Saccharomyces cerevisiae S288C: one gene and its partner. The protein of the gene in region 2 interacts with the protein of the main gene of each other region in a biochemical or structural test. Each region holds a gene or a part of one and is shown on either strand. Other genes may lie near its edges.

The links.
Region 1: of the proteins of LAF1 (region 2) and KNS1, one has a biochemical effect on the other in vitro, tested with the Saccharomyces cerevisiae proteins (one large-scale study listed by BioGRID).

The regions. Positions count from the first base shown.
Region 1 is NC_001144.5:105,037-109,615, reverse strand, and holds KNS1 (serine/threonine protein kinase KNS1), read left to right. Parts: upstream 1-1,716; coding exon 1,717-3,930; downstream 3,931-4,579. Other genes in the region: COX19 (Cox19p), read left to right, coding at 644-940; SPA2 (Spa2p), read right to left, coding at 4,269-4,579. UniProt on the Saccharomyces cerevisiae protein: Nonessential protein kinase.
Region 2 is NC_001145.3:469,085-474,130, forward strand, and holds LAF1 (Laf1p), read right to left. Parts: upstream 3,269-5,046; coding exon 764-3,268; downstream 1-763. Other genes in the region: SRT1 (ditrans,polycis-polyprenyl diphosphate synthase), read right to left, coding at 1-392; YMR103C (uncharacterized protein), read right to left, coding at 3,818-4,180; putative protein kinase YPK2, read right to left, coding at 4,336-5,046.

The DNA of each region.
Region 1 (4,579 bases), on a different chromosome or scaffold from region 2:
ATCTGGGATGGTTCGGTTATGTACCAGGACAATATTAAGTTGACGCGTCAGTTGAGTAGTAATCGTCCTAGTATTTTCGCCTACCATGCCGCTTTTTGCGTTTTTGACCGCCTCTGGTCCCTTATACAATCCACAGGCAAAAAAAAATTACATAACAAGATTACTCTTCAAGAAACCTGGAAAATATTTTTTTGGGCAGTTTTTTAAGACGATAATAAGTTCTATGCCTCATTTACGCACCAGCGGTTCTATTACCAAGCTGACTCTTATCGGCGATGAGTATGATCTAAGGCTCGGGCCGCCCATTTTGCTGCTCCCGGTCAAGTAGCACGCTCCCTCTTTTCTTATCGCAGGCTTTGCCCACTACCCGATCTCTAAAGCGCCCATTTAACCTTTTTTAAAACAACAGCTTAAAAGCTTTTTGGATAAAAAGCTTTTATTACTACATCTCTGCATCTTCTCTCCGGGGTCTAAGAAAAGGGCTCAAATTCGCGGAGTTGAGAAACGAGAAAATCCAAATAAAGCGAACAAGAGGGAAAAAAATTTTTTCTTCCGTTCTTTCCTTCTTCTATACTTCAAGAAAACAAGCAAACGCACCCACTACACACAAAGTATCTTTTACGAAACATAACACAAGAATCCAATGTCAGGGAACCCAGGAAGCTCGCTGAGCGCATTGAGACCTACTCCACCCGAGAGAGGTTCGTTCCCGCTAGACCACGACGGCGAATGCACCAAGTACATGCAAGAGTATCTCAAATGTATGCAGCTTGTGCAGAACGAAAATGCAATGAATTGTAGACTACTGGCAAAGGACTACCTGCGGTGCAGGATGGACCACCAATTGATGGACTACGATGAATGGTCACATTTAGGTCTTCCTGAGGATGCTCCAGGCAACAACGGTAAAACCATAAAAGACGCCACCGATAATAAATAGCCGCCCACATCGGAATATCGAATAAAAGCTAGACGCTGTTGGTAATATCATACTTTCTACAACAACTGGTAAAGAACTTCTTTTTTTGAAATAGCCGCCGATATGGCGCGAAGTGACCCTGCTCGAGGCTGTGCGGGCCCAGGCCCGTCCGTTTCTTTTTTTTCTAGGGGGCGGCAAACGGGCCAAAGGGGTCAGCGTGATTGGGCGGTTTTCCACAAAGCTTTAGTCTCTCTCCTCACGCCTTGGCTTAGTGAGTGGCCGGAGTTAAAGTTGCGAGGAAACACACAGCGAAGGGAAAAAGCTTTGGCGTGCTTAACGATATGGCTTATGGCCCGGTTGCAATGCTGGTTTAGTTTCCGATTACGATTTTCGATTTGAATCCTGGCTCCACATCTCCCACCCTCTTTTTTTATCTCTAGCATCGTGCGTTGGATTTTATATTATGAAGTTCCTATATTAGAATAAAGTTTAGTATTTACTTCCCAGATCTACCGGATTTACAAAGTATTGTTACCTCACCACCAAGTGAAAGGAAACAGTGCAGTAACTCCTCGTGCTTACGCTAACTAAATAGATATTATATTCACGAAATACTGCGCCAGATAGCAAGCAAACCCAAAAAAAAAAAAGAAAAAGAAAAAGGAAACAAAGTGGGAGACAGAAAAAGAGTGAAAGAAACATAGTATTTACCAAGTCGAAGATTTAGCACAACAAAGACTAATCTACACGCATACTGCTCTTCTTCATTATTGCTTTATCTTCCGCGTACCTTAGTTATGTCACAGAATATTCAAATTGGCACTAGAAAACGTTCAAGAGCAAATATGAATAATTCCACTACTACGGGCCCTGCTAACAATACAAGCTCTAACAAGACCTTTTTGGATAATTTCGAAGAAACGCGCACAAACAAGCTGCTGGACGAGATGTTTGCTCGGCAAAATTCTTTTCTAACAGACAATCTGAGGAACAGTCTAGACCTGAATCAAGCAGACAATCCGCTCCGTCCTCGGCAACACCAACACCAGTTGTTCTTGGACAATGAAAATGCCATAGAACTAGACGAGGAGCCGCGTATCATTAACACCACAATCAATAACAGTAATAATCATAACAGTAGTCGAGTGGACGAGGATGCTGACGATGACATCATTTTTATCAAAGAGCAGCCAATTCAGTTTTCGTCACCTTTGATTCTGCCTAGTAGCAGCAGTATCAATAACAACAATAATATTGTTACTTCAAATAATCCAGGGTGCGGTACCGCAGCTACAAGCAATAGTACGTATATCACGACACCAAAGAAATTCAAGAAGCAAAGAACCATCTCACTGCCTCAGTTGCCTCTATCGAAGCTGAGCTACCAATCGAACTATTTTAATGTTCCTGATCAAACCAACGCTATCGTGCCAAGAGTAACGCAAACTGAAAATGAGCTGTTGCATCTAACGGGGTCGTGTGCAAAGACTCTGGAGGGCAACAAGGCAGTGAATCTCACGATTGCTCACAGCACTTCTCCCTTTTCCAACCCACCAGCACAAATAGCTTCCCTGCCTCAATCCAACCTCAAGAAACAAATTGGTTCTTCACTACGGAAATTTACATCAAACGGCTCTTCAGAAAGCGCATCATCCAATAAATCAAATTTCAAAACGGACAAAGACGGTCACTACGTTTACCAGGAAAACGACATATTTGGCAGTGGCGGCCGCTTTGTTGTGAAGGACCTATTGGGCCAAGGCACGTTTGGTAAAGTACTTAAATGCATCGATAACAAGTATGAACCTAATTACGTGGCTGTAAAAGTGATAAGGGCTGTAGATAGATATAGAGAAGCCGCCAAAACAGAACTAAGAATTCTACAGACTATCCTGAATAATGACCCTCAAGGTCAGTTCCAGTGCCTCTTGCTAAGGGAGTGCTTCGATTACAAAAATCACATTTGTTTGGTGACAGATCTATACGGCAGGTCCATTTACGATTTTATGTGCTCCAACGGCATTGCCAGGTTCCCCGGCTCTCATATTCAGGCCATTGCCAGACAGCTAATCAGATCTGTCTGCTTCTTGCACGATTTGGGCATAATACACACGGATTTGAAACCAGAAAATATCCTGATTTGTGACGAAACCCATATTGCTCAAAAATTGCCTTTGAAAACCGTACAGTCGCTAAGCAAGAGACGCCGTGAAGCCAGTAAGGGGAAGCGCAAAATCTTGAAAAATCCAGAAATCAAAATCATTGATTTCGGTAGCGCAATTTTCCATTACGAATATCATCCTCCTGTAATATCCACTCGTCACTATAGAGCCCCGGAAATTGTCCTTGGCTTGGGCTGGTCGTTCCCCTGCGACATTTGGTCCATCGCGTGTGTCCTAGTAGAACTGGTTATTGGCGAATCTCTTTACCCCATTCATGAAAATCTAGAACATATGGCTATGATGCAACGAATCAATGGAACCCCTTTCCCCACAGACATTATTGATAAGATGTTTTACAAATCTAAACATAAATTGGGCAACTCTCCATCAGACCTAAATTCAACGGTGATAAAGCATTTCGACAGAAAAACTTTAAGCTTACAATGGCCTGAAAAAAATAAACGCGGAGATACCATAACCACCGAAAAGTCAATGAAAAGGGTCTTGCAGTCATGTGATCGCTTAGATATTTACATCTCAAAGGTCTTGAAACAGGATTACGGCGATAGCTTAAGCATCAATTGGAATCTACCGCCGGAGAAAAACTGGTCTTTGATAAATTCGAAATTGGCATGGAAAAGACAAACACATTCCTCTTCTTCCTCAACTACTGATGAACTCGATAAGGAAACTTTCTTGTTTTGGTACTGGTTCATCGATCTACTCAGGAAAATGTTTGAGTTCGACCCAACAAAAAGGATTACCGCAAAGGACGCTCTGGACCATGAATGGTTTAATCTGGGCATACTGGATGATGGTATTGCAACTTATAATAATACCCAAGGATAGTGGGTGTTCTCGTTCTACTTTTCTCTTCTTTTTTTCACATCTTTTACTAGTTCCGTTTTTTTTTTTTTTAACTCTTCTTTTTCATTTTCCGGTTTTTAATAATATTTCTTTAAATTTCTATATTCAATAAAAATTCTTCCTACATATATATCTTCATATTCAAACATTTATAGTATTTTTACTAATTTTTTGTTGTTTTAATATACTATAATAATATTATTATTACTGCTACTACTATTATTATTATTATTATAATTATTATTATTATATGTCATACATAATACATTCTATTGATTGTCTTTGTCTTCCTTTTCTTTCTCCTCTAGATACTACTAACTTTACTTCAACTTCGAATTCAAATAATTTATTTCGTCCTTCAAACTTGCCTCTTCTACAGTTTTTACCAGCTCCTTTGTACATTTGGCAACATCAAACGCAATCCCTGCCAACCGCTGTTTGAAGTTTTTGTCAGCATAATCTTGATCGCTCTTTTCCTTCGCTAGTATTCCATCGCCAGTTAATTGGCACAAAATTGTCATTCTACGCGAACAGTCTCTTAGACTTTGCACCACCCAATCACCGTGTTTCTTCAAATTGGCATTTCTGCTTTGCTCCATTGATATGCTAGTAGCGTCCACCATTTGACCTA
Region 2 (5,046 bases):
ACTTCTTCTTTTGGTCTATTAAAATTTTCAATAGAAAATGCATAGGCGGAAACACATTTTACACCCAATCTTTTGCAGATATACAGTAGTGTTAGTAACGTTAACCCACCAGCTTCATGGCCTTTTTTTACTGGTAGCCTTCTTGACTTGGCATATCTCCGGTTACCATCCATGATAAAGGAGACATGTTCAGGCACTGGCCCTACCCTTAATGCTTTTATCAAAATATTCTGAAGATTTACATAAAACCATGAAAACAAGCTTAATGACATAACCCACGCAAATACTCTCTGAAATATACTTTTCACTGCGAAGCACATCTGTTCTTTGGTTTCTACCAAAAGCCTTTTTAGGGCTACAAACTGAATCTGAATAATACTGGGCATTTTCATTATGGTCAACAGAAACGTCCTATGTTTGAAAGGCAGCCTGTTCTTTATAAGTTGATAAATTGAGAAAAGTGCACCAAATCTTAATCTACTCTGTGTGTATTTTTAGGTCCCTTAAATAACAGAAAAAGTATAGCTTTAGCCGCCGAGGTCCACTCAGTTTGGAGTAGTTACCCTTAACAGGCACTCACTCCGTTTTGTTCTTTCGAAGAGATACGTTATAGTATATCGGCAACAAATGATAGGCTCATTGTTAGCGTTCATTAATTATTAGATTAAAATTTATTTAAGTGTATCGTGTTTCTTTACTTTATGTACGAAGATTAATATGCATTTAAAGGTATCATCCACGGAAAAAAAATACTCCATCAGCGTTAGCGGAAGTTATTAACTACTGTACCGCAGTCTACGCAATAATAGTTTCTATCTTGTTGGTCATTAGCACCAGAAAAAGCCTCAAACCTTGAACCGTTACAAACATTGCAACGGATAGGTAAATTCATTGCGCTCGTTGGAGTGGTAGGCCCATGTGCATTGGAGAAAATAGATGACATGCTTTCCCTTGGTGTTCTTGGCTGTGCATTACTGCCGAGTGTTTTTAGTGATGTACTGCTTTTGGGACATATATTAGAGTATCCACGTCCCGTTGCATAGCCTTTTCCAGTATTAGTATACGCCGCTGCCGGTTGGCCAGCCAAGTTTGATTTCGCTCTCGAGTTGAAGCTTCGACTCAAAGAATGCAAAGAATCAGAACTGTTAAACCTTCTCCGAACCTCTCTATTGTATTCTTCTAGTTTGAGTAACACGCGCTTTCTTATAACAGAGGGCATATCTGCTCTAAACACACGAATAGTCCCTACGTTATCAGTACTGATCAATATCGTTCCAATTGCGTCAACGACATCTGGGATAGCACTGGTGGCGGAAGCATTAGAAATTGAGCCTGGTTTAGAATTGTAGCCCAAAGACGACTCTACATCTGACATTATGCCATCGTCGTTACTCCGACTCAAAACATCGAAACTATCGGATGTCTGAAAAAACTCTAGAGATAGCTCGCAGATAACATCGTTAGACAAAGATAATGTTTTCGAAGTTTCTGGCGGTGCAATGCTAACACAAGTAACAGGGGCATTGTGTGCATGAAAAGAAATGTAATCCGTATTTTTGATATAATGATCGTTGCTATGATGAGGCAAGGGAAGTAAGTTAGTAAGTTTTAAATGATGATGTGGTTTTTCTTCGTTATTCTGGCTGGAAGACCTACTCATTGATTTACTAAATATGCTTCTCAAACTTCCGGACCGAGCCAATCCCTTTGGTTTCCTTTTAGGTTCGTCTTGATCATTCTCTCTATCCGAAGACTTTAACCTCCAGCCGTAAACCCAATGGTCATCACTACTATTTACAACGATTGGCTGACCATGCCAGATGGACAATTGTGCCTTGTGTTGGGAAGATCCGCTATGGAAGCCTTTCAATACCTCTAGAAGCTTCCTCTGTTCTAAGTCAAAAATTCTTATCCTCGAATCATTCGATGTAACTACTAAGCGGAAAGAATTGTCCAGTTGAGATCTAAAAGCTTGCAAACCCGTCACACGTGGACCATGACGAATTTTTGAGTCAGTTTCCGTGACCATGACGTGAGCGTTTTGTTCTTGTGTTTGTCTATCAGCTACGTGAAATGAAGAAACTGGAGTGAGACCTCTGGTCATCAGAATATGAACGTATCCATTAAATGTTCCTATTATAGTGTATTTTCCCTCCTCAGGGGATAATGTAACAGATGTTATTAAGTCTTGACAATCGTACTCAAAGCTAACTTCATCATCCAGTATAGACCATAACCTGCATTTGTGATCCAGACAGCCGCTAATGAAAAATCTATCGTCGGTGGGGTGAAATTCCACACAAGTGACAAAATCAGGATGTATGAATGTCTTAAGTGAATTTTTCCTATCGGGATGCCATAGTTTTACTGTCTTATCCATCGATGCTGACAAAATAAAATTATTTTTAGACCAATTTATATCCAGAACATCTTGCACGTGTTCTTTATACAGTCGCAAAGGCGTTGGGTGAAAGACAGGCGCATACAAATTCAATAATTTTTCCTTCTCTTCGTATTTCTCTGTAGCAGAATCCAAAAATTGTTTTTCTTTTGGATTGTTCAATGAACTGACCTGCTGTTTGATCCGCATCGACTTGGCTCGTGCCTCTTTATTTGATTCCGCACTCGAGTCCAATTCGGCTCTTTCAACTGGAGAGCCAATAACTTTCCATATTCTTATTTTACCATCTTTGCTACCAGTGGCCATAAATTTTCCATCGCGGCTAAACTTTGTACTCCATATAGCTTTAGAGGTTGGTTCAGATGATTTGGAAGTGGAGGTAACCGTTTCACCTTCGTAGGCCATTAGTTCTTGCGCGAGAAACAATCTTCTAAATTGTTTCAGGTTTTTCCGACGTTTCAACATTTTAATGTATTTTGGCTCTCTCAAATAGTTTTCAAATTGCTCTGTATCAATGGAATTGAAAGGGTAAAACTCATTGACCCTAAGATTCGAATTTAAAGTATTGCCTCTCTGTAAATGTTCCTTTAGTCTCATAAATGAATCAGTGGCGTTGCCGTTGTTACTATATTTTAATTTGTCATTTGTATTATTAGTTTTTGTCATTCTGAACTTCAATGGCTCGATATCTGCAGAATATTCAAGATTTAGTTTGCTTTTACTTTTACTTTCACCGGAACTGGACTCGCCGTCGAAGCTCTCTTGATGCGACCGACTCTCCTCTTCAGATCCAGTGGTATTCGAGGAATTGCTGAATTCAGAATGTACCTTGCTTATACTTGTTTTATCCTCCGCCATATTCGTCATATTTCTAATTCTCGTACTATATTATACGCCACTACCGTATACAATATGCCAAGAGCTCAGCAACTGCTTTCTATTCTTTTTCTTTGATTGTCTTTGTTCCTCTTTTCCCTCTTTCTTTTCCTCCTCTGTTTAACAAGTTGGAGAGAGTTGCAGTCTTGTTCCCTATACGGTCCAGCTGTGACTTGTACGAACGCGTATTGTATCCCAGGAAGAAATAATGATGTAACTCGCTTACGAAGCTTAAGAAAGGGCAAAAAAAATGTGTCCCCCCTAACTGCGAAAGTGAAAAAAAAAAAAATTAATGCGTTGAATTTACACAGTTCTATGTATAATTAACTGCTACGATAGAAACTGGACAGTAGTAAGAAAGATTGGACTAGGCATCACCCAGACTTTACTTTTTCGGCATACATATCTATTTATATATAGTTTAATACGTAAATACAAATATATATATACTGTAAATTTTAATCATTAAGCTTTTCTTTTTTTTTTGTTCACGCTTTCACCCTGTGAGGCGAATGAGGTTAGCTTTTTCCCTTTACGGGACTAGGTAAGGCTCCCCATGGCTGAGCCCGCGCAAGGAAATCCAGGATCATCCGCGGAAGAAATAAGCTGCTCCCGGCCCAGACTATGTAAGAAAAGTGGCAACAAACAGAAAAGCGAATCTTTCCTTTCAGGCAATGCAAGGGTCCTTTGCCGTTTGGCGAATTCCGGTAACCTCGACTTGCGCCCCGCGGGCTTCGCTTTGACATCCGCGGGTATAAGCGTCCGTCCTTCGGCCGACAACAGGTCGGTCTTTGATCTCAATTCCGTAGATGGAAGAATTCTGATAATGCTGTAAAAGAAATGAATAAGCAACATAAGTCGTGTGAGAGTTGCTAAAAGAAGAGCGCAGCCTCTGCGGACCATTCTATTTTCTGTAGTTCTTCTTGTCCCCGTTAACCACAATAGTAACGGAGTGCGTATCGCAATCTACTTGAACTATCCATTTTTGAAAATTGCAACCTCTTGCGGCTATAGCTATAAATTCCGTCCGGCTCGGCTCGGCTTGCTTCGGCTTGCTTCTAACTAATGCTTCTCCCCTGCGAAGGAGAATCACCCAACTGTTCGTCACCAATGTACGTCCACCCACCAAACTGCTTTTGAATACTTGCACTTAAGTACTCGTCCACTACACTATCGATCGGTTTTTCCTTAGTGAACTCTTGATCAAAATTTGCAGTATCTATTTCACTCTTTACAATTGGCTTGTAAGGCGGAATATAGCCCTTCAAAAGTAGCTTTTTCCATGAGATGTCTTTAAAGAAAGGATGGTTACGAATTTCATCTGTACCGTTAACGCCGAGTCTTCTGCTTGGGTCTCTGCTTAAGAGGCCAATTAATAGGTCTTTTGCCGCAGGGTCAAATCCATCAGGAAATAGTAGCGGTTGCTGCAGAATTTTCTTGTACATAACAGGAACGTTCTCATCATAGTATGGTGGCAGCCCTGTCATCATCTCATACAGTAAGATACCTAATGTCCACCAGTCAACTGTTTTAGTATAGCCCTGCCCCAACAAGATTTCTGGTGCCAAATATTCGGGAGTACCACAGAAAGTGTCTGTTTTGTCATTATCCTTCATGTTCAGCTTGCAAAGCCCAAAATCACACAGTGCAATATGTCCTTGGTAATCCAATAGAATGTTTTCAGGCTTTAGGTCACGATAAATGACGTCAAGTTTGTGTAATGAATCGAGAGCACATAATAGTTCTGCAATATAAAAACGGGAGCGTGC